Anolis sagrei: one gene and its partner. The protein of the gene in region 1 purifies or fractionates together with the protein of each later gene. This does not show direct contact. Links are inferred from orthologs where the notes say so. Each region holds a gene or a part of one and is shown in the gene's direction. Other genes may lie near its edges.

Region 1 (10,240 bases):
GCCCCGCTGCAGAAATTAATGAGCCAGAAGATAGAAGGCATGTTTTCAGAAAGAATAGAATAGTTCAACAATCTCTTTGGCACTCTGCCAGGTTGAGAGAAAAATTGATAACAGAGTCTAGGCTGAATAGAAACAAGTTTCTATTGGGGATTTAGAGTAGATTAGGAGATAAAAGTGCCAAGTACAGAATCTGAGATCCGCCAAAGCAATGTTGGAACTGGATCTAGACGTAGTGGTGAACATTGCAGTGTTACCTTGGAAAGAGTCAAGTTATACCTTGTTTGATTTCATGATTTGGAGTTTTACCTTGGAAGTTTCTGTGTGGATTTTCATGTACTTTAATGGATTTATTTACTGGATTATTTGTTCCTGTTTATCTTTCTACCTACTTGGATTTACCTATTTCTTTGGAGTGTTTTTATTGCTAATGTTTTTTAAAAAAAATTACCTACAATAAACTGCTTGCATTTTCCCTCAGCCGTGTGGTGTTTTTAAGTCAGAGGGCTTCTTCCTGGCCTGGAGTGCAACAGTGAGAATCATTCAGCAATTATATGGAAATGGTGGATCACCTCCTTTTGTCCCAAAGTAAATTCAAGGGGGGAGATGGTGTGTCAATCAGTACCCATTAGATTCATTTTATAATTTGGCAATATGATAGTAGCTAAAGTAAAATCAGGAGAGGATAATTCACAGATTTATATTACTAAATGGAACTGGCCACAATTCAATGTGTAACATTAAAATGTACTGTTCCATTTTCTGGGCGGACTCCAAAAGGAGGCTTAGACAGAGAAGGATAGTCCATTTTAAGGGGAGTTGAAGATGGAAAACCATTTCACCCATTTTCACAGGTTATTCCTGTTGAGTTTGCTATGAATCCTAGTTAAGCTTTACATTGAAATATGAATAATAAACGTGTAATTGGAGGAGAAAAATTAATGCTTATCAAAGTGAACTGCTATTTATATGTGTAGATTTATCAAAGTTAATAATCTATATAAATAAAAATATAATGTTCATTTGTGAGATTAACATAACTCAAAAAACACTGAGCAAATTGAAACCAAATTTGGACACAATACACTTATCAGGCCAACAAGTGACCATCACTCATAAAAACACTGAAAAACGCAATGGAAGAGACTTAAAAAGCCCAAAAATAAAAAATACATTACAGTCTTCAAACTCTATGATTCTATGAAATATTTCTTTCCTTCCAAAAAGACAAAGTTACGCTGTACAGCCCCAAGCTGAATCAAAGTGCTAAAGTGGGATCTGAAACAAGCCTGGCCTTGAGTGCACACATCTACAACAAATCATATTGGGCAATCTGCTTAAATTTGGTGTGCCTTGACAAGCATGATATACAGATTAAACAGATGAATTGCTTTTATAGGTCATGTAGCAACCTCAGTAAACAAGGCTACACACCTCTCATTGTTGGTGGGAAAGCTTTAGAGCATGTAATGATTGCAATCTTAATCAACTACAATCTTAATGACTCACAAACACTATCTAGGACTACTACTGCTATGTATGCAATCAATTCATGAACCTACTTACATAATATTGTTCATATAATTCAATGATAGAGTTTAATTAAAGAAGAGTTAGGATAGTGGAAATAGTTGAATTAGGGGGCATCTACACTGCAGAATTAATGCGGTTTAACACCACTTTGCCATAACCTGATGCTGTAAAATCATGGGAATTGTAGAGGCAGAGGAGCCTCCAGACCTTGTAAAACTACAGCTCCCATGATTTCATAGCATCAATCCATGGCAGTTAAGATGACATCAAACTCTGTCCTTTATTTACAGAAGGTAACACTCATTTTAAACCTGACAACATAATCCTTTTTCTTTCTCACAAAAGGAAGTATTTCTCAACTGTTTCCACTATCCTAACCCTTCTTTAAAAAGATGGCATATATTTATTTCTTTATTATATTTCTTTGGTGCCAATCCTCAGATGACCTCAAGATGCCTTAGATGTTTGTGAGCTATCTCAGGTTGAGGCACAGTGGCTGGCCCAAGGCCACCCAGTGAGCGTCATGCTTCAGTGAAAAACAGTTGGTGCTCCATGGTACCGATTGGTTTGAAAAGCCATTACTCTATTATCCGTCTGTTAAAAAAGCAGGGTGGGGTAATTTGATCTGGAAAGACACTCAGTTTAACAAACATGGCTGTAATCTTCTGCAAACTGAAGAGTAATCACCATTGAGTTTAGTCAGACTTGCCTCTGAGAAGAAACGGTTAGGTTCAAAGTACAAGGATTTAGGAATAACAGATAATATTGTTCCCATCTTGCTCATCAAGTTGCAACATTTGTGAGACAACTTTTATAGAGTTAGCACTGTTAGGGATTTTGCAGAAAATGTGAGAAGAAAGAAATAAGGTGTCTTATTTTACAACTTAATAGATATTGTCGATATTTATGGTTATGTATTTCCATATCATCTCAGACTCTTGTGTGGACGATGCCTTTAATATGTCTGTCGACTTATGGTGGCCCATTAATTTTATAAGGTTTTCTTAAGCCTGGAATTCTCACAGATGGGTTTGCCTTTGAGTATTTTCTCTGAAAGACGGCCTTATTTGATATCAGTCTCCCATCCAAGTACGAACCAGGGCTGACTCTACTTAGCCTCCTATATCAAAGCGGCTCTGGAGCCTTTAGCAAAGATTTACATTCCTCACATAGAGGCACAGGACTCACATCAAAGTGAATAAACCCCTATGAATAAATAAATGGCTAATTGTCTCACCTCTGAGAATTCTATATCTAGGAGAACTCTATGATTAACTTCTGCTGGAAGCCAAACATACATACACATTGGAGGTTGTAGAAAGTCTTAAGAGTGCATCTGTATTGTAGCTTTGATGCAGTTTGATATTATGTTAACTTCTGTGGCCCAATGCCATGGCATCATGGGTGTTGCTGTTTGCCAAGACACTGCCACTTTTTGGCAGAAGGCTGTGATTCCTATGATCCTATCACACTGAGCCATGGTAGTTAGTTATGTCAAACAACATTAATTCTATGATGTAGGTGCATCCCTAAAGATAGGTCCTCCAGGATTTTGAGATTCCTAGAGAGTACATTTTAAATCAAATCTCTGAATCTACAAAAAGACACAATGATGGCTGTAGAAGAAGCAGATTGGGTATTTTGCTTTTTTAAAATTTTGGAAATAATTTTATTAAATATAAAATTCCAAAACACTTAAAACATGATACAATTTGTTGTTGAAGGCCTTCATGACCAGAATTACTGGACAAACCTCTGAGGATTCTTGCCACAGATGCAGATGAAACATCAGGAGAGAATGCTACTGGAACATGGCCATACAGCCTGAAAAACTCACAACAACCCATGATACAATTGTCTTATCACATCTTCTATTTCCAGATCGATAACCTCCAACCTCCCATTACTTATATCATTATAAAAATACATCACTGTCAATTCTATTACTTCTACATTACTCTAATTGTATCTGTTAAATATAATTATTGTAATTTGGTCATTAATTGCTCAAGCACAATCTTTTTTGGATGTTTGGTGGTTTAAATTCACAATTCATTTTATGAATTAAGCTAATAAATTGATCTATTGCACATATCTTGTTTAAGCAGTTCTTTATTGTCAGATTCTCTAACCTTTTCCAGGTTTTCACTATTTTCGAGTCTTGTGGCACATAACAGAAGCAGTATAAGATTTTTATTTATCAGATCCTTATTCTCACTTTCAAATGCAGAAATCATTAATGGAGCTCCCCTGAAGTGTATTGTTTTCCCCACCATTCGCTCAAAAAGGTAAAGGTTTCCCCTTGACATTAAGTCTAGTCGTGCCCGACTCTGGGGGGTGATGCTCACCTCCATTTTTAAGCCGAACAGCTGACATTGCTGACATCCGTAGACACCTCCTAGGTCATGTGGCCAGCATGACTGCATGGAGTGTCATTACCTTCCTGCTGAAGCGGTACCTATTGATCTACTCACATTTGAATGTTTTCAAACTGCTAGGTTGGCAGAAGCTGAACTGCTAAACTTGTTGACCGAAAGGTCACGGGTTTAAATTCGGGGAACGGCATGCGCTTCCACTGTCAACCCTAGCTTCTGCCAACCTAGCAGTTCAAAAACATGCAAATGTGAGTAGATCAAAAGGACAATGACGACTAGAATTGATAGGATTTGACAATGTGGAATGAATTTACAGACGCTGAGCTGGCGAACGTTGAGTATTAGATTGGTTTTATTGATTATGATGTATAATTGATTGTTTTAATTGTTTATAATTGCTGTTTATATGTTTTATCTTATTGTTTGCCTCTTGTAAGCCACCCTGAGTCCCCCCTTGGGGGTTGAGAAGGGCGGGGTAGAAATGCGCAAAATAAAATAAATAAATAAATAGGTACTACTTCAGCAGGAAGGTAACAGTGCTCCATGCAGTCATGACAGCCACATGACCTTGGAGGTGTCTATGGACAATGCTGGCTCTTAGGCTTAGAAATAGAAATAAGCGCCACTCTCCAGAGTTGGACACGACTGGACTTAATGTTAAGGGTAAACCTTTACCTTTTATACTGTATACATATAATATTGATCATAATATTATAATGTAAGACAATACGAATAATACAATATAATATATAATATTGTAATATAGCAATGCTAATATATTAGATATAATTACTACTGATGATTTGTAATAATATATGATATACTGATTTATTATTGATAAATTAAATCTGCCCCCTCCCTCCTGACCTTTAGGAAGCTAGGGAAAACCTGGCTGTGAAACGAGCCCTTTGCAGAATGATGGGTGAGACTGATAATCGGCCAAAGTATTGACTACAATACATGGACTGAATATACGGACTGAGTTAGACATGTTTTTATCTTGGCGAATGGCTTTTGGGTATTTAGTTTATATGTATTATTAATTTACTGTTATTATATGTTGTTTTAGATTTTTACTGTTTAGCATTGAATTCTTGCTGTTAGCCGGTCTGAGTCCCTCTACGGAGGTAGAGAAGATCGGGACATAAAAGTTTTAAATAAATAAATAAATAAATATTGTATATTTGAAGTTGTAATATTTTTGATTGTGAACCATTTTGAGTCTCCGTATGGGAGAGATAAAGTGGGATATAAATAAATAAATAAGAGGGCTATATGGGTTTGTCTTCACTGTAGAATTAATGCAGTTTGACGCCACTTTATTTATTCAATGCCATCAGTATCAAAACAATATAAAATAGCAATATAAAATCCATTACATAACAATTAAACAGTGATATTAATTAAAATTACATAACCACATAGAACAAATCACATAATCACAGGTCATAAAGCCATTTCCAATTTTCAAACAATCCTATTGTCCGAGTTCAGTGCCTAAAGTGCTGTTGTGCCCACTAGCCAAAGGCCTGGCTCCAAAACCACGTATTTAGTTTTTTTTCCTAAAAGTAAGGAGGGAGGATGCTGATCTAATCTTGCTGGGGAGCGAATTCCATAAGCGGGGGGTCACCACTGAGAAGACCCTGTCCTTTTAACTGCTCAATGCTGTGGAATCATGGGAATTGATGTTTTACAAGAGTGCTGGTGCTTCAAACTACAACTCCCAGGATTCCATAGTACTGAGCCATAGCAATTTAAAGTGGTGTCAAAGTGCAACGAATGTACAAATGCACCCAATGACTCTCAAGAAAGGAGGCTGCACTGCCTTTGCCTGAATGTTAAGTCTGGGAGGGTAGTGGGCCTCCTTTTCCATCCTTCTCCATCCGAGGAGAGAAAGAGGAAAGGCGGGGATTATATAGGATTTATGTTATTTCAACAGAAGAGCAGCCATGAGCAAACTCTTTCAAACACGTGTCCCACGTCACACATTATCCCTCTCCCTCCCCTCCCCTCCTTCAACTCTGCCACGTTCCAACCCACTCCTCAAACAGCCACAACTTTGGAAGGCGTTCCTCCCCGCCCCCTTTTTTATTGGCCAATCGGAGTCTCCTATTTTCCCCTCCTCGTTGCCGATTGGTCGGCTAAGACGTGCCAGTCCCAGGGCCGTGAGCGCGCCCGTTCGGGTCGCTTAAAGGGGCGGAGCGACGCCGTTCGCCCTCGTGTCAGCCCCGCCCCTTCGGCGTCGCGAGCGCGCCTCTCTTTCTCTCTCTTTCTCGGTACCTGACAGGAGAGGCGGCGGCGACGACGAGGACGAGATGGCCCCGCGCAAGAGCCCCAAGAGCGGCAGTCCCGGCCCCAGGAGAGGTCAGTTGCACTACGCGAGGCCGCGGCCTAGTGGGCCTGCAGCCCGCAGGTGGTGGGAAGGGAGAGCCGCGCGGATAACGGCTCTCTGAGGCGGGAAGCCGGAGGGACCCCACTCTTCTTCTCCTATCAATATCCAATGAGGCCTTCCCGAGTCTTCGCCATCTCCACCCTCCTCCTTTTTCGAAATTGCCGCTTTGGAGGCCCCTCCCTATCCTCCAAGCTATGGAAGCTTGGGAGCTATAGTTCCAGAAGGTATTTTACCTTCCTCTGCCCAAAGAGTGATGGTGCCACACCGAACTACACATCCCAGCATCCCATAGCAGTACGTCCAGGCAGATAAAAGTGTCAAAACCAATTATTTCTACAGTTTAATGGGTAATGACTGGAACATTACTATGCAAAGGCATACAGTACCTTCTGAGAGAATGAGGGTGCAGAATTTATGCCTTTTGATGCTGCTTTAAGTGCCACGGTTCAGTGCTGTGGAATCCTGGGAGTTGTAGTTTCATAAGGCATCAGTCCTCTGCAAGAGAAGACTTCGGGTGCATCTACACCGAGCATAAGCAAACTTCGGCCCTGCAAGTGTTTTGGATTTCAACTTCCACAACAACGGATTTATTTATTTTATTTACATCATTTCTACCCCGCCCTTCTCACCCCCAAGGGGGGGACTCAGGGCGGCTTACATGCGCAACAATTCAATGCCATAATATCAGTACAACAACATAAAATCAAATACTTAGAAAATTAACAATAACATTAATTAAAATCACATACTCCTATACTAACATAGTCACCTAATCAAAATCACATATCCGTTTCCAACTGTCCAATTGGGATTGCCTCAGGCAGCAACCAGCCAGGCTTTGAAGCTTCAAGGCCATTAATTGCTAATCAAGATGGGCAATTGCAACATTGTATTGTCGAAGGCTTTCATGGCTGGAATCACTGGGTTGTTGTAGGTTTTTTCAGGCTATATGGCCATGTTCTAGAGCAGGGGTCCTCAAACTTAAGGTCCAGGGGCCGGATGCGGCCCTCCAAGGTCATTTACCCGGGAAGGCCCTTGTTCAGGGTCAACCTAAGTTTGAAATGACTTGAACGCACACAACAACAACAAGAATCCTATCTCATCAGCCCAAAGCAGGCCCACACTTAATAATAATAATAATAGCAATAACACTTTATTTGTACCCTGCTACCATCTCCCCAAAGGACTTGGTGCGGCTTACATGAGGTCGAGCCCACAACACAGCAATAACAAAGCAAAAACAACAACAATACAAGCAGTAGATAAAACTCATAACAGCAAATAAACAATAAACATTAACAATAGCATCACTTCCCATTGAAATACTACATTTTATATTTGTTGAAATTGCTCTTCATTTTAATTATTGTATTGTTTTAAGTGTTTTTGCACTACAAATAAGATAGGTGCAGTGTGCATAGGAATTCATTCATGTTGTTTTCAAATCATAATCCAGCCCCCCAACAGTTTAAGGGACTGTGACCTGGTCCTCTGTTTAAAAAGTTTGAGGACCCCTGTTCTAGAGGCATTCTCTCCTGATGTTTTGCCTGCATCTGTGGCAAGCATCCTCAGAGGTTGTGAGGTCTGTTAGAACTAGATATATAAACCCAATTTTTCCTAGTTCCAACAGACCTCACAACCTCTGAGGATGCTTGCTATAGATGCAGGCGAAACGTCAGGAGAGAATGCCTCTAGAACATGGCCATATAGCCTGAAAAAACCTACAACAACTCAGTTGCAACATTCACACTTGCCTCAAGGAGACAAGCATTCTTTCTCCCACCCTTGACATTCCACAGATATCTAAACCTCATTTGTTTAGTTTCCAACAAACCCCTCAACCTCTGCCATAGATGTGGTCGAAACGTCAGGAGACAATGCTTGTGGAACACGGCCAACCATACAGTCCGGAAAACTCCCGGCAACCCAGCTGGTAGGCTGTTAGGAATTGTGGGAATTGAAGTCTAAAACACCTGGAGGGTCGAAGTTTGTCCATGCCTGATCAACACTGTAGAATGAATGCAGTTTGGGACCACTTTCACCACCTTGGCTCAATGATAGGGAATCATGAGAGTTGTAGTTTTACAAGGTCTGTAGCCTTTGTTTTGAAATGGTGACTGAGATCTTATTCTACCAGTGTTTACAATAAAAACATTAACAAAAAAACCCACTACTAGCCTAAAATGAAAGTACAAATGAATACACAAAATTTGTAATGTTAAAAGTTCATTAAATGAATATTGAATACATAAAAAAAACACAATGAGGATTTATTGTAAAACGTTTCTGAAATTAAAAGACATAGGTGGTTCAAAATAAAAGGTTTGTAGCCTTCTCTGCCACAAAATGCTGGAGGCTCACTAAACTACAAATCCCAAGACATCATGGCTATTGCATACCTGGATTTGTAGTTTAGTGTGGCTTCAGTTAAAGTTGTAACCAAAGGCTTTCATGCCCACAATGCAATGCACTCACAGATTCTCCTGCCCTTTGTACTGCCTGCCTTCTGTATCCATGGATTTCATAATCACGGATACAGCCATTCACAACTTGAGTACAGTCAGAAAAATCCAAAAAGCAAACCTTGATTTTATCATTTTATATAAGGGATGCAATTTTGCTACACATTGTTTATAGTGGGACTTCTGCACCCATGGCTTCTAGTATCCACAAGGAACCTAGAATCAAATTTTAGTGAATACCAATGGTTTATTATAATTATTTTGGGGGAAGGGGGGGCTCTGAGCTCCTTCATAAAACACACATCAAGGTCGTAGCTCCCCTTCTTTAATACAATGGAAAGAAGGAGGGAGGGTGTCCATGGCATTTGAGATGGAAAAGAATGGGAGTTAAAACTGAAACAAATTCTACAGTTTGACACCACTTTTACTGTCATTATACTATGGAATGCTGGGATTTGGAGCTTGGTGAGACACATCTACTCCTTGGCAGAGAAGGCTAAAGACTTTGCGAAACTACAACTCCCAGCATTCCCTAGCATAAAGCTGTAGCAGTTCAAGTGGTGCCAAACTGCATGAATTCTGTAGAATGCACCATGGGTGTGTAGGTTCATTTAATTGTGAGAAATGGGTGACACATATAACACTTCAAACTGTTAAAAGAGAAGCAAAAAAATAAAAAAGACAAATAGGATCGCAATGCTGACTATTCAGCAATGTGTGTTTAGGAACAAAGGGCACTGCTGTAACAATAAAGGCAGAGAGACAGGAGATGACCACAAATAAGGTTGAACAAGTAAATTTCTTCCATATGATTGAAGAAATCAAAGTGAAATCCTGGGGAATGTAGTTCAGTGAGGTGCCAGTGTTCTTTGGAAGAGACTGTTAAAGGCCTTGTAAAACTACACCTTTCATGATTCTATATTACCGACCCATGGTAGTTAAGTGATGCCAGAACTGCATCAATTCTACAGTGTAGATGCACACAGAGAGTCACTTGCACTTGTTTGTATGACCTGTCTTCCATATACACAGAATCAACCATCCACAACTTAAAATATTCCAAAAATAAATCCCCCCTTGATTTTGCCATTTTATATAAGGGACACTATTTTGCAACATAATGGGACTTAAGTATCCACAGGGTCCTGGAACCAATTCTCAGAGGATATCAAGGGATCACTGCAATTTTTTGTTTGGGGGGTGGGGTCTCTGACCTCTTCCTTGAATGTGTGTGCATGCATTTCGCACATGCACACACACACACCAAGCAAGCTAAAAGAAGATTTGCTTCATTTCTTCCTCCTTGCACTGTGTACATACACAAGTCACGCCTATTTGCTGGTAGTTTAAGTTTGGAGTTGATAGGGTGTGTCCCATTGACTATAATGGCATTGCCACACAATATTGGAGAGTTTTCATATTCATTTTGCAGCCATTCACAAGTAGATACTGCAGAATTCAAACAAGTAGCTCTGTGTTTA
Region 2 (10,358 bases), on another chromosome or scaffold:
GGAGGTGTCTATGGACAACACCGGCTCTTTGGCTTAGTAATTGAGATGAGCACCATCCCCCAGAATCAGACTTGACTAGACTTAATGTCAGGGAAAACCTTTACCTTTTAATCTGGTGAGTAGGACAATAAAAATGTTAAAATCTTGATGTGTGTACACGTATTTACATCCCCATATTGGTTTTTAAAAAATCAATGCAATCTGAAGATCAGGATTTTATGGAGTGGACAGTTTTCTAGTCATGAACCTTTGAATGGGAGAATGGACACCCAGTAACAATTCTTTTTAAAATGCCCTACTACTTGACCTCAGTTGCCCAGATCTGAATTGTTACATTACTCAGAATTTCCTTTATTACTTAAACTAAAAGAGGATCCGGGACTAAAAGACTTGCTCAGTTATGTTAAGTGGAAATTCACAGTGGTGGCAATCTATATAAATAAAAATATAATGTTCGTTTGTGGGATTAACAGAACTGAAAAACCACTGGACTAATTGCTGCCAAATTTGGCCACAAGACACCTACTAACCCAAGGAATGACCATCACTCAATTTTTTTTTTTGTCATTTGAGAGTTGTAGTTGCTGGGATTTATAGTTAACCTACAATCAAAGGGCATTCTGAACTTTACCAATGATGGAATCAATCAAGTGTAGCACACAGGACTCCCATGACCAACAGAAAAAAACTAGAAGGGTTTGGTGAGCATTGACTTTGAGTTTGGGAGTTGTAGTTCACCTACATCCAGAGAGCACTGTGGACTCAAACAATGATGGATCTGGACCAAACTTGGAACAAATATTCCATATGCCCAAATATGAACACAGATGGAGTTTGGGGGAAATAGACCTTGATATTTGGGAGTTGTAGTTACTGGGATTTATAGGTCACCTACAATCAAAGAGCATTCTGAACCCACCAACGACAGCATTGGGGCAAACTTCCACACAGAACCCCATGAGCAAAAGAAAATACTTAAGGCCATCCAGTCCAGCTCCCTTCGCCAGGGCAAGACAATGTAATCAAAGCCCTCCTGACAAAGAGCCATCCAGCCACAGATATAGATTAGATATATATGATTCACACACACATTGAGATATAGTATCATAGATTTGAAAGGGACCCCTAAAAAAGGACAATTATATCCTAGCATGTTCCAGAGTAGGCAAACCAGACAATTTCCACGTCAACACTGACAAAGAAACAGCAAGAAATATTGTTTACCCACAAACATCAAGAAATTACATATATTAAAAACCAACACTTGCTCATTACTTTATTTTCCAGATCACCAGACTGGGCCACAGCAATGCGTGGCAGGGGATGGCTAGTTTAAAAATAATTTGGCAAGATACATGCTAATCACGCAGACATCATGCTTCTGAGGTCCAATTTTCAGCCACAGTTTGCTCACTTTGCCCTGCATTGTTATATAGAGGCAATTGTCACTTTTACAACTAGAACTTTTATGCATTTATATTCTGAGAGGTGTCACAGGGGAACTCCTAGGGGACTCCTAAGGTTAAACTCCTCAGGCTATACATTGGGGTCTTCAGGGGCTGCAAAACAAGCCCCAACAGGCTGTGAGCAGGCCATAAACACAGCTTTCTTCACCCCTGTGATTGTAAATCTGAATCTCATTTGATGTCTGATAATCTCCACCCTTGTGATTACCAAACTGAATTTGGCTTCATGTCTGATATATTGACGTCATATAGGTTAAGTGTCACCCTAACATTTCAGCAGCTATCTTTTTACAACAGCTCCACTGACTACTGGTGTGGTTATAGGCACAATTCAAAATACGCATCAAGATCTAAAATGTGTATTGCCATTTTGTAATAGCAAAATATCTCCAGAGACCCTATAATTGAGCCAAGCTTCTGTTATAATCTCTTATCACAAACTACTTTAGCCCCATAACTCAACTAAAATGTATAGTACAGCAGCCTAATGAATTAATCTGAAATGCAGCCCACAGTACTGCTTCTTACAAGGTGGGTCCCAACCTTAAATGGGGTCCCCTTTGCTCAGTGTTGGGGTCACGAAAATTTGGCAACTGTACTTAGGCAATCCCTCATAGTCCGAGGATGATGGTCCTCCAAGGTTGGTGTCCTAGCGGTGGGTCCGTAGGTGACTGTGGAGCCCTATTCTTGACCTGCATCTTCTCCCACAGTGAGGGCATCGGATTCCAGGTGGAAGGCGGTCCCGGTCGGGGTTGGCTTGACGAGCCTTCCTCTTGGCATGTTTCTCTCTTTCATCCTCCATTCATGCCTCTTCAAATTATACAGCACTGCTGGTCACAGCTGATCTCCAACTGGAGTACTCAAGGGCCAGGGTTTCCCAATTCTTAGTGCCTATGCCAGAGCCCATCTTTAAATCTCTTTTCCTGCCCTCCAACATTCCGTTTTCCGTTCTTAATTTCAGAGTAGAGCAACTGCTTTGGGAAACGGTGGTCGGGCATCTGGACAACGTGGCCAGTCCAGCGGAGTTGATAGCAGAGGACCATTGCTTCAATGCTGATGGTCTTTGCTTCTTCCAGCATGCTGACATTTGTCCGCTTGTCTTCCCAAGAGATTTGCAGGATTTTCCAGGGGCAGCGCTGATGGAATCGTTCCAGGAGTTGCATGTGACGTCTGTAGACAGTCCACGTTTCACAGGCATATAGCAGGGTTGGGAGGACAATAGCTTTATAAGCAAGCACCTTGGTATCCCTCAAACACTCTCTGCTTCATTCGGAAAAATGCTGCACTTGCAGAGCTCAGACGGTGTTGTATTTCGGTGTCAATGTTGACTTTTGTGGAGAGGTGGCTGCCAAGCTTGCGGAAATGGTCAACATTTTCTAATGTTACACCATTAAGCTGTATTTCTGGCATTGCAGAGGGATTGCCTGGTGACTGCTGGAAGAGCACTTTGGTTTTCTCAATGTTTAATGACAGGCCAAGCTTCTTGTATGCTTCTGCGAAGGTGTTTAGAGTGGCTTGTAGATTTTCTTCTGAATGCGCACAGATGATGTTGTCATCAGCATACTGGAGTTCTATAATAGATGTCATTGTAACCTTGATTTTGGCTTTCAGTCTGCTGAATCTTGCCATCTGTCTGATAGATGATTTCCACTCTTGTGGTAAGCTTCCCATCAACAAGGTGAAGTATCATAGCGATGAAGATGGAAAATAAAGTTGGGACAATAACACATCCCTGTTTGACACCTGATTCCATCTTAAATGGGTCACTTTGGGAGCCATGGCTGTCCGAGACTGTTGCCATCATGTCGTCATGGAGGAGCCGCAGGATGTTCACAAATTTGTTAGGACACCCGATTTTTTGGAGGATGGTCCAACAGTAAAAGGTTTCTGAATGTCACCTAGTGGCGGTTTTAGACATTTACAGAAATCTACAGCACAGTGTTTACAGTGGACTTTGCAGGTGAGTCTTGAGTTTCATGAAAAGGGGAAATTGGCTTGTTAAGCAAGCTTTGCAAATCCCAATTTATAATGAAATACTTTATTTTACACCTATTCCTTACATAGCTGAGATCATGTAAAAATTGTATTGGGCCGAAAGGGGTTGTGTAGCTGGATCTACACTGCTGTATAACCCAGTTTCTGAATCCTGATTATCTGATCGGAACTGGATTATAGGAGTCTACACTATCAAATAATCCAGTTCAAAGATGATAATCTGGATTCAGTAACTGGGGGTCCTTCCACACGGAATATCAAGGCAGAAAACCCCACATTGTCTGAGTGTGGACTCAGATAATGTAGCTCAAAGCAGATATTGTGGGATTTTCTGCCTTGATATTCTGGGATATAGGGCTGTGTGGAAGGGCCCTGGTTATATGGCAGTGTTGATGGGGTCTCAGTGGACAAAGTTTAAGATGCTCTATCTTAGGGCCCTTCCACACCGCTGTATAAAATCCCCCATTATCTGCTTTGAACTGGAATATATGGCATTGTGGACTCAGATAACCCAATTCAAAGCAGATACCTCATATTGTGGGATTTTCTGCCTTGATATTCTGGGTTATATGGCTGTGTGGACTCCGATAACCCAGTTCAAAGCAGATACTGTGGATTATCTGCCTTGATATTCTGGGTTTTATGGCTGTGTGGATGGGCCCCTGGGCTATCTGTTGTGGAGAAACTAGCAACTGTGAGGAGAAAAGCCATTTCGCCCCCCAGAGGCCAGCACCATGTTTTTGTCCATTGGCTATAATTATTTATTTATTTCCTGGAAACTCTCCATGGACCAGTATAGATGACACATAGGGCCCTTCCACACAGCCATCTAACTCAGAATATCAAGGTGTGTAATCCACAATATCTGCGTTGAACTGGATTATGTGAGCCCACGCTGGGTGATAGTATGATAGCTGGGTCTGGAAGCTCCGAGCTTAATGGAGAAGAGAGGTTGGAGTGAGAGCGGGGAGAGTGAAGGAAGGATAGAAAGGAGGAGACACTTAGGGTAAGGGTTAGGGCAAGGTTTGGGTTAGGGTTATGGTTAGGGTAAGGGTTAGGGGTTATGGTTAGGGTACAGTTTAGGGTTAGGGTAAGGTTTAGGGTTTGGGTTATGGTTATGGTTAGGGGTTTAGGGTTTAGGTTTGGGTTAGGGTAAGGGTTAGGGGTTATGGTTAGGGTATGGTTTAGGGTTAGGGTAAAGTTTAGGGTTTGGATTATGGTTAGGGGTTTAGGTTTGGGTTAGGGTTAGGGTAAGGGTTAGGGTTATGGTTAGGGTTATGGTTAGGGGTTTAGGGTTTAGGTTTGGGTTAGGGTAAGGGCTAGGGGTTATGGTTAGGGTACGGTTTAGGGTTAGGGTAAGGTTTAGGGTTTGGGTTATGGTTAGGGGTTTAGAGTTTAGGTTTGGGTTAGGGTAAGGGTTAGGGGTTATGGTTAGGGTACGGTTTAGGGTTAGGGTAAGGTTTAGGGTTTGGGTTATGGTTATGGTTAGGAGTTTAGGTTTGGGTTAGGGTTGGGGTAAGGGTTAGGGGTTAGGGTACGGTTTAGGGTTAGGGTTATGGTTAGGGGTTTAGGGTTTAGGTTTGGGTTAGGGTAAGGGTTATGGTTAGGGTACGGTTTAGGGTTAGGATAAGGTTTAGGGTTTGGGTTATGGTTAGGGTTATGATTAGGGTTATGGTTAGGGGTTTGGGTTAGGGTAAGGGGTTAGGGTTAGGGTATGGTTCGCTTGGGTTAGCGTAAGAGTTAGGGTTAGAGTAATGTTTAGGGTTTGGCTTATGATTAGGATTAGGGTTTGGTTTAGGGTTAAGGTAAGGGTTAAGGTTAAGGTAAGGTTTAGTGTTTGGGTTTTGGTTATGGTTAGGGTAAGGGTTACGGTTGGGGTATGGTTTAGGTTAAGGGTTAGGGTTATGGTTAGGGTAAGGGTTAGGGGTTATGGTTAGGGTATAGTTTAGGGTTAGGGTAAGGTTTAGGGTTTGGGTTAGCGTAAGTGTTAGAGTTTAGGTTAGAGTAAGGTTTAGGATTTGGGTTATGGTTAGGTTATGGTTTAGGGTTTGGATTTGGGTTATGGTTAGGGTAAGGGGTTACGGTTTGAGTATGGTTTAGGTTAAGGGTTAGGGTTATGGCTAGGGTAAGGGTTAGGGGTTACAGTTAGGGTATGGTTTAGGGTTAGGGTAAGGTTTAGGGTTTGGGTTATATGATTAGGGATTACGGTTAGAGTATGGGTTAGGGTTAAAGTAAGGATAAGGGCAAGGTTTAGGGTTTAGGGTTTGGGTTAGGGTTAGGCTTCCGGTTCAGGGTAAGGGTAAGGGTTTCACCATGAAAGAACTCTTCCATCCCTTCTCTGTTCTCTGTCTCCGGCCTGGCTTACATGAGCGAAGTCTCTCTTGCGCAAACTGCGCTCCCAAAGGAGCGATGCGGCCTCTCCGTAACGTTCGGTGCCTCCGGACCCAGCCCTCCTGCTCCCACCCCGCACTGACAGACCATCCAGCTCAATGTGGATTTTATACAGCTGTGTGGAAGGAGCTTGAGCTATTCGCAACTCCAGGGGGCGCTGCGGGATTCCTTCCTCGATTTCTGGGAGGCGCTCTCTCCTTCCCTCTCTCTTGTTCCCCTCGGAGCGGAGGAAGGGGAGGAAGAGGCGGAAGTGGCTGGCATTGGCAGGGCGCGAGGGAGGTGAGTGTGTGTGTGAGAGAGAGAGCGAGCGGCGAGCTTCTACACCAGGCATGAGCAAACTTAGGCCCTCCAGGTGTTTTGGACTTCAACTCCCACAGTTCCCCTTTTCCTCGGGGAAAAGGAAGAGGCCTGAGGCTGTTAGGAACTGTGGGAGTTGAAGTCCAAAACACCTGGAGGGAGGGCCCAAGTGTAGACTCAGCCTCGAGGGCAAAGTTAACTGACGTGGCGCTGCAGTGACAGCAAGAAATGTCCCAGCTGGCCTTGTGGGTGTCAGGCTCCTGCAAAGGGGCAGGAGTTGGCTTGGGGGACCCGCGCCACCTGCCCAGAGGTGAGAGTCTCCTAGTGACTCCTGGAGGCCGCAGCTTCCCCTCCTTGGCAGGGAAAGGCTTGTGGATTTCTCAGTTGGCGACCCCTCCGCCCCCTTGGTGCCTTTCCAGCTTCCCAGATGCCCAAGTTCGAGTGGCCGAGAATTTGAAAAGTCCAGGACAGGCCAATGTCGGCAGGAGCTTTTGGGCTGATTTTTCGGGGCTGCATTGGCTCCCAATGGCGTTTCTGAGTACACCCGCTGCTCCTTCCCCCCATTGCTTGTCTCCCCTTCGTGGTGGGAAAGGATGCCGCTGTGCTTGAGGACGGTGGCCACAAAGGAGGAAGCCACCTACTCACCAAGGGCATTCCTACAGATCCTACAGCTAGATCAGAATTTCAAAAACAGAAGACCCACCTCTTTTGGCAGGCCTACCTAGTAATTATTAGCTTGTTAATTTTAACCTGCATTTTAACTAGTATGTGTTGTCGAAGGCTTTTATGGCCAGAATCACCTGGTTGCTGTGAATTTTTTGGGTTGTTCCAGGCCATGTTCCAGAGGCATTCTCTCCTGATGTTTGCCCACATCTGTGGCAGGTATCCTCAGGGGTTGTGAGGTCTGTTGGAAACGTGGCAAGTGAGGTTTATATATACTGTTAGGGGACCCAAATATTGAGCTAAAGGGACTCAATTTGGGGTCGTGACCCACAGTTTAAGAAGCATTGCTCTAGACTCATCCTGGACATTGTGGCTCTTTGGAAGTAAATCCTACTGCGTTTAGTGGTGCTTGCTTTCTCATAAGTGTTCATTCATCATTTTTCTCCATAGGAACTCAAGCATATTCATTCACCAAGCTAGTTGGAAGACTGGTTTTGGTTTATTAAAGACCATGTCCAGATCCGGAGGAAAAGGGGTGAACCTAAAGGACAAACTAGAGGGCAATGAATTGGACCTCAGTTTGTGTGACCTGAATGAAGTGCCAGTTAAAGAGCTGGTTAGTATATGTTTTCATTTTGGCTATCAAATACTACAAACAATGTAAAAGCCATATGATTGTATTTGCTTGTGAACTATGTATGATATGTAGCAGGAAGTCAGTTGGCCCTTCCTCATGAGAGGCTTGAACCAGTTTTTGAAATATACATTGATTACATTCTGAAGGTATAAATCTAGAAATTTTAGCCAAAATATTGACCCCAGAAGCCTAAGTCAACTTACACATGGGTCCCTGTAAGTACTGTGCCTTAATGCTTATAAAATAAAAACTATCCACAGAGTGGCAGGAGACAAGAGTTTAGTCTGTTCATGGAGAACCTAAAAGAAGTATTCAACCCTCTCTGCTCTTTTAACCTTGGCACCACTTTTTGCCTTTTGAATCCTTGGGAAATGGTGGCAGCAGTGGGCAGTGGCATCTGGCTCCCTGTGATGGTACTGCCGCTTTCTTCTCTCTGTGGAATGGCTATCAAGTTATTCACAGCTCATACAAAATGCATAATTTTCATCCTCAAACTTGCACTCAACATGAGGTCAACTTGTACATTGGAATATATGATAAATTGTCTCTGTTTTGAGAAAGGTACAATTCTGAAGAATACAGTAGGTCCTCAACTTTTACAGACGTTAGGAGCTCAGAATCATGTGAAAGTAGGAAACTATTTTACCTGAAATTATTTTACCTGAAATAATACCTCTTGAGATCTTTCTGCATGACTCTATGATTAGCTTCCATCAGAAGTTTATTTTACACTCCTAGACATTCCTAGAGAGAACTTATCAAATAAATCTGTGGTCAGATCCACAACAGTTAAGCCTACAAATCTGGAAGGATGACTGTAATATATAGATTTTAGGAAATGAATTATTTTCACTGAAATGAATGATATACGATTGATATCACTGGTTTGCAATCTGAATTACATGTAGTAAGGGATAAGCCCCAGAGGACACAAGGTAACTAATGTTTAAGTAGGCATATATAGGATTGCACTGTTAATTTTGTTTGTTTCTTTGCAGGCAGCACTTCCAAAGGCAACTATTTTGGATTTGTCTTGTAACAATCTTACATCATTACCTGTAAGTTGCAACTTTTTTGCTTTGTAGCGATGACTCATGTAGATGTGATCATAGGTGCAGTAACTGTAATAATGATGGTAGAGATAATTCCCTGGGCAGTGATTGCTGGTGTTTACCATGTCAGTAGGATGGAGATTTCACTCCATGTTTTAGTCTGAACCTTCAAATAGAAGACGTTGAGCCGGTTTTAGGGACAAGAATCAGCACTACGGATTGCTAATGTAAAGTTCAGAATAAAACTTTGGAGTAGATGCACTGCCTTACTCAAATGCCACAGTCCTTAAAAGACCAGCATCAAATACTGACTCATAATTAGAGACAGAAATGCACCTGATATTTCAGAGAAGAAAGATATGCCATAATGACAGATACTTTCAAACTGGATTAATAAATATATCAGTGAATGGTAGCTTTAGGTTCTAAGTCTTCCACTATTGATATGTAAGGAAAAAATCATTTAGGGAACACAGATTCTCTCAAGGAACCATAGGATTAATGTGATTATTATAGCTATGACTTTTCTCTTACTATATGTTTTTAGATCTGTTTCTCTATTTACAGGTTTACTATGAGTTGACGTATGTTCATAATTTCTCAAATTCCTTCAGAAAGGCTATGTGCATCATCTTACTATTATCTTACTAGTGCTTAGTTCTTCAACAGCACCATGCTCTTTGTACTTATCTGAAAAGCATCTCTTACTGATTTTAGTAGGGTTTACTTTCAGGTAGGCATGTATAGAGTTCAAAGCTGCTTGCATCAACTTTTGTTAAGATAATGGGTTGGACTTTTTGTTTTGTTCTTTTTTTAGTCTGATTTCTGCAGTTTGACCCATCTAGTGAAACTGGATTTAAGTAAAAATCAGCTTCAGCAACTGCCTTCAGACTTTGGTCGCTTGGTCAACTTGCAACATCTGGATCTGCTGAACAATCGATTAGTAACTTTGCCAGTCAGTTTTGCCCAACTCAAGGTAATCCTTTCCATGTCTAATTCTTAACTGAAGTAAGACCATGGGTTTGGAGCAGAATATTTTCTTTTAGTAAAATTTATTTCTCAACTGCAAGGGAGCTAAAATTGAAAAAAAATTGCCTTTCTTCCACTAACAGAAAAGATACTGTGCAGAAAATTGATTCCTCAACTGTACTTATTTCCCTACATTTTCTATGATTCCGAATGACCCCCTCTCCCTTTGTATGCCACAGAAATATGGCCTGCAGCTCAAGAATTTTCCCACCTGTTTTAAATGCTACTTCCTTTATAAAATCCCATTAGCTGTACCTACTAAAAGTACAGCTAACTTACCATTTTGCCCTTGTGTTGAAGTCTCCCAAATAGTAATATGGATGTTGACATTTTAAAAGTGCGTGGCTGAAACGACTAAATTACAAAAGCAGTAGTTTGTTATGAACTGCAGGCATTGTTTTGGAAATATGAGTACATCTCCAGTGTAGCTCTATGTAATGCTCATGTGTACTCAGCATCATGGGCCTTCTAGGAATTCTAATGTCAAGTCAAATGCTTCCAAGTAGGGAAACTGAAAATCCTTGGAGCTGACTTGAGCTAATTTTGTCTGTATTTTCCTTCTTCAGAATCTGAAGTGGCTGGATCTGAAAGACAACCCCTTAGATCCTATGCTAGCAAAGGTTGCTGGAGATTGCTTGGATGAAAAACAGTGTAAGCAAGCTGCCATCAGAGTAAGGGATCTTTCTATTTGTCTTGTTGGCTCCCTTTCCTTTTGTTGTGCTGATTAATTAGAAGCTGTTGATATTTTTTCTTCTGGATTTTTAGACATGTAAAAGCTCAGTATAAACTACAATCTTTCACAACATGAATTGAATTCCATTTTACTAT

What was found.
Region 2: the proteins of ASPH (region 1) and LRRC59 purify together in Homo sapiens (co-immunoprecipitation; 3 studies listed by BioGRID and IntAct, with this or other methods). This does not show direct contact. The link is inferred for Anolis sagrei from reciprocal best matches to the Homo sapiens genes ASPH and LRRC59.

Annotation. Positions count from the first base shown.
Region 1 is NC_090024.1:47,302,497-47,312,736, forward strand, and holds the start of ASPH (aspartyl/asparaginyl beta-hydroxylase), read left to right. Parts: upstream 1-6,085; 5' UTR 6,086-6,220; coding exon 6,221-6,269; intron 6,270-10,240.
Region 2 is NC_090022.1:115,864,548-115,874,905, forward strand, and holds the start of LRRC59 (leucine-rich repeat-containing protein 59), read left to right. Parts: upstream 1-6,069; 5' UTR 6,070-6,131; intron 6,132-6,170; exon of another isoform or gene 6,171-6,459; intron 6,460-6,808; exon of another isoform or gene 6,809-6,873; intron 6,874-7,262; 5' UTR 7,263-7,323; coding exon 7,324-7,428; intron 7,429-8,447; coding exon 8,448-8,507; intron 8,508-9,318; coding exon 9,319-9,477; intron 9,478-10,096; coding exon 10,097-10,201; intron 10,202-10,358.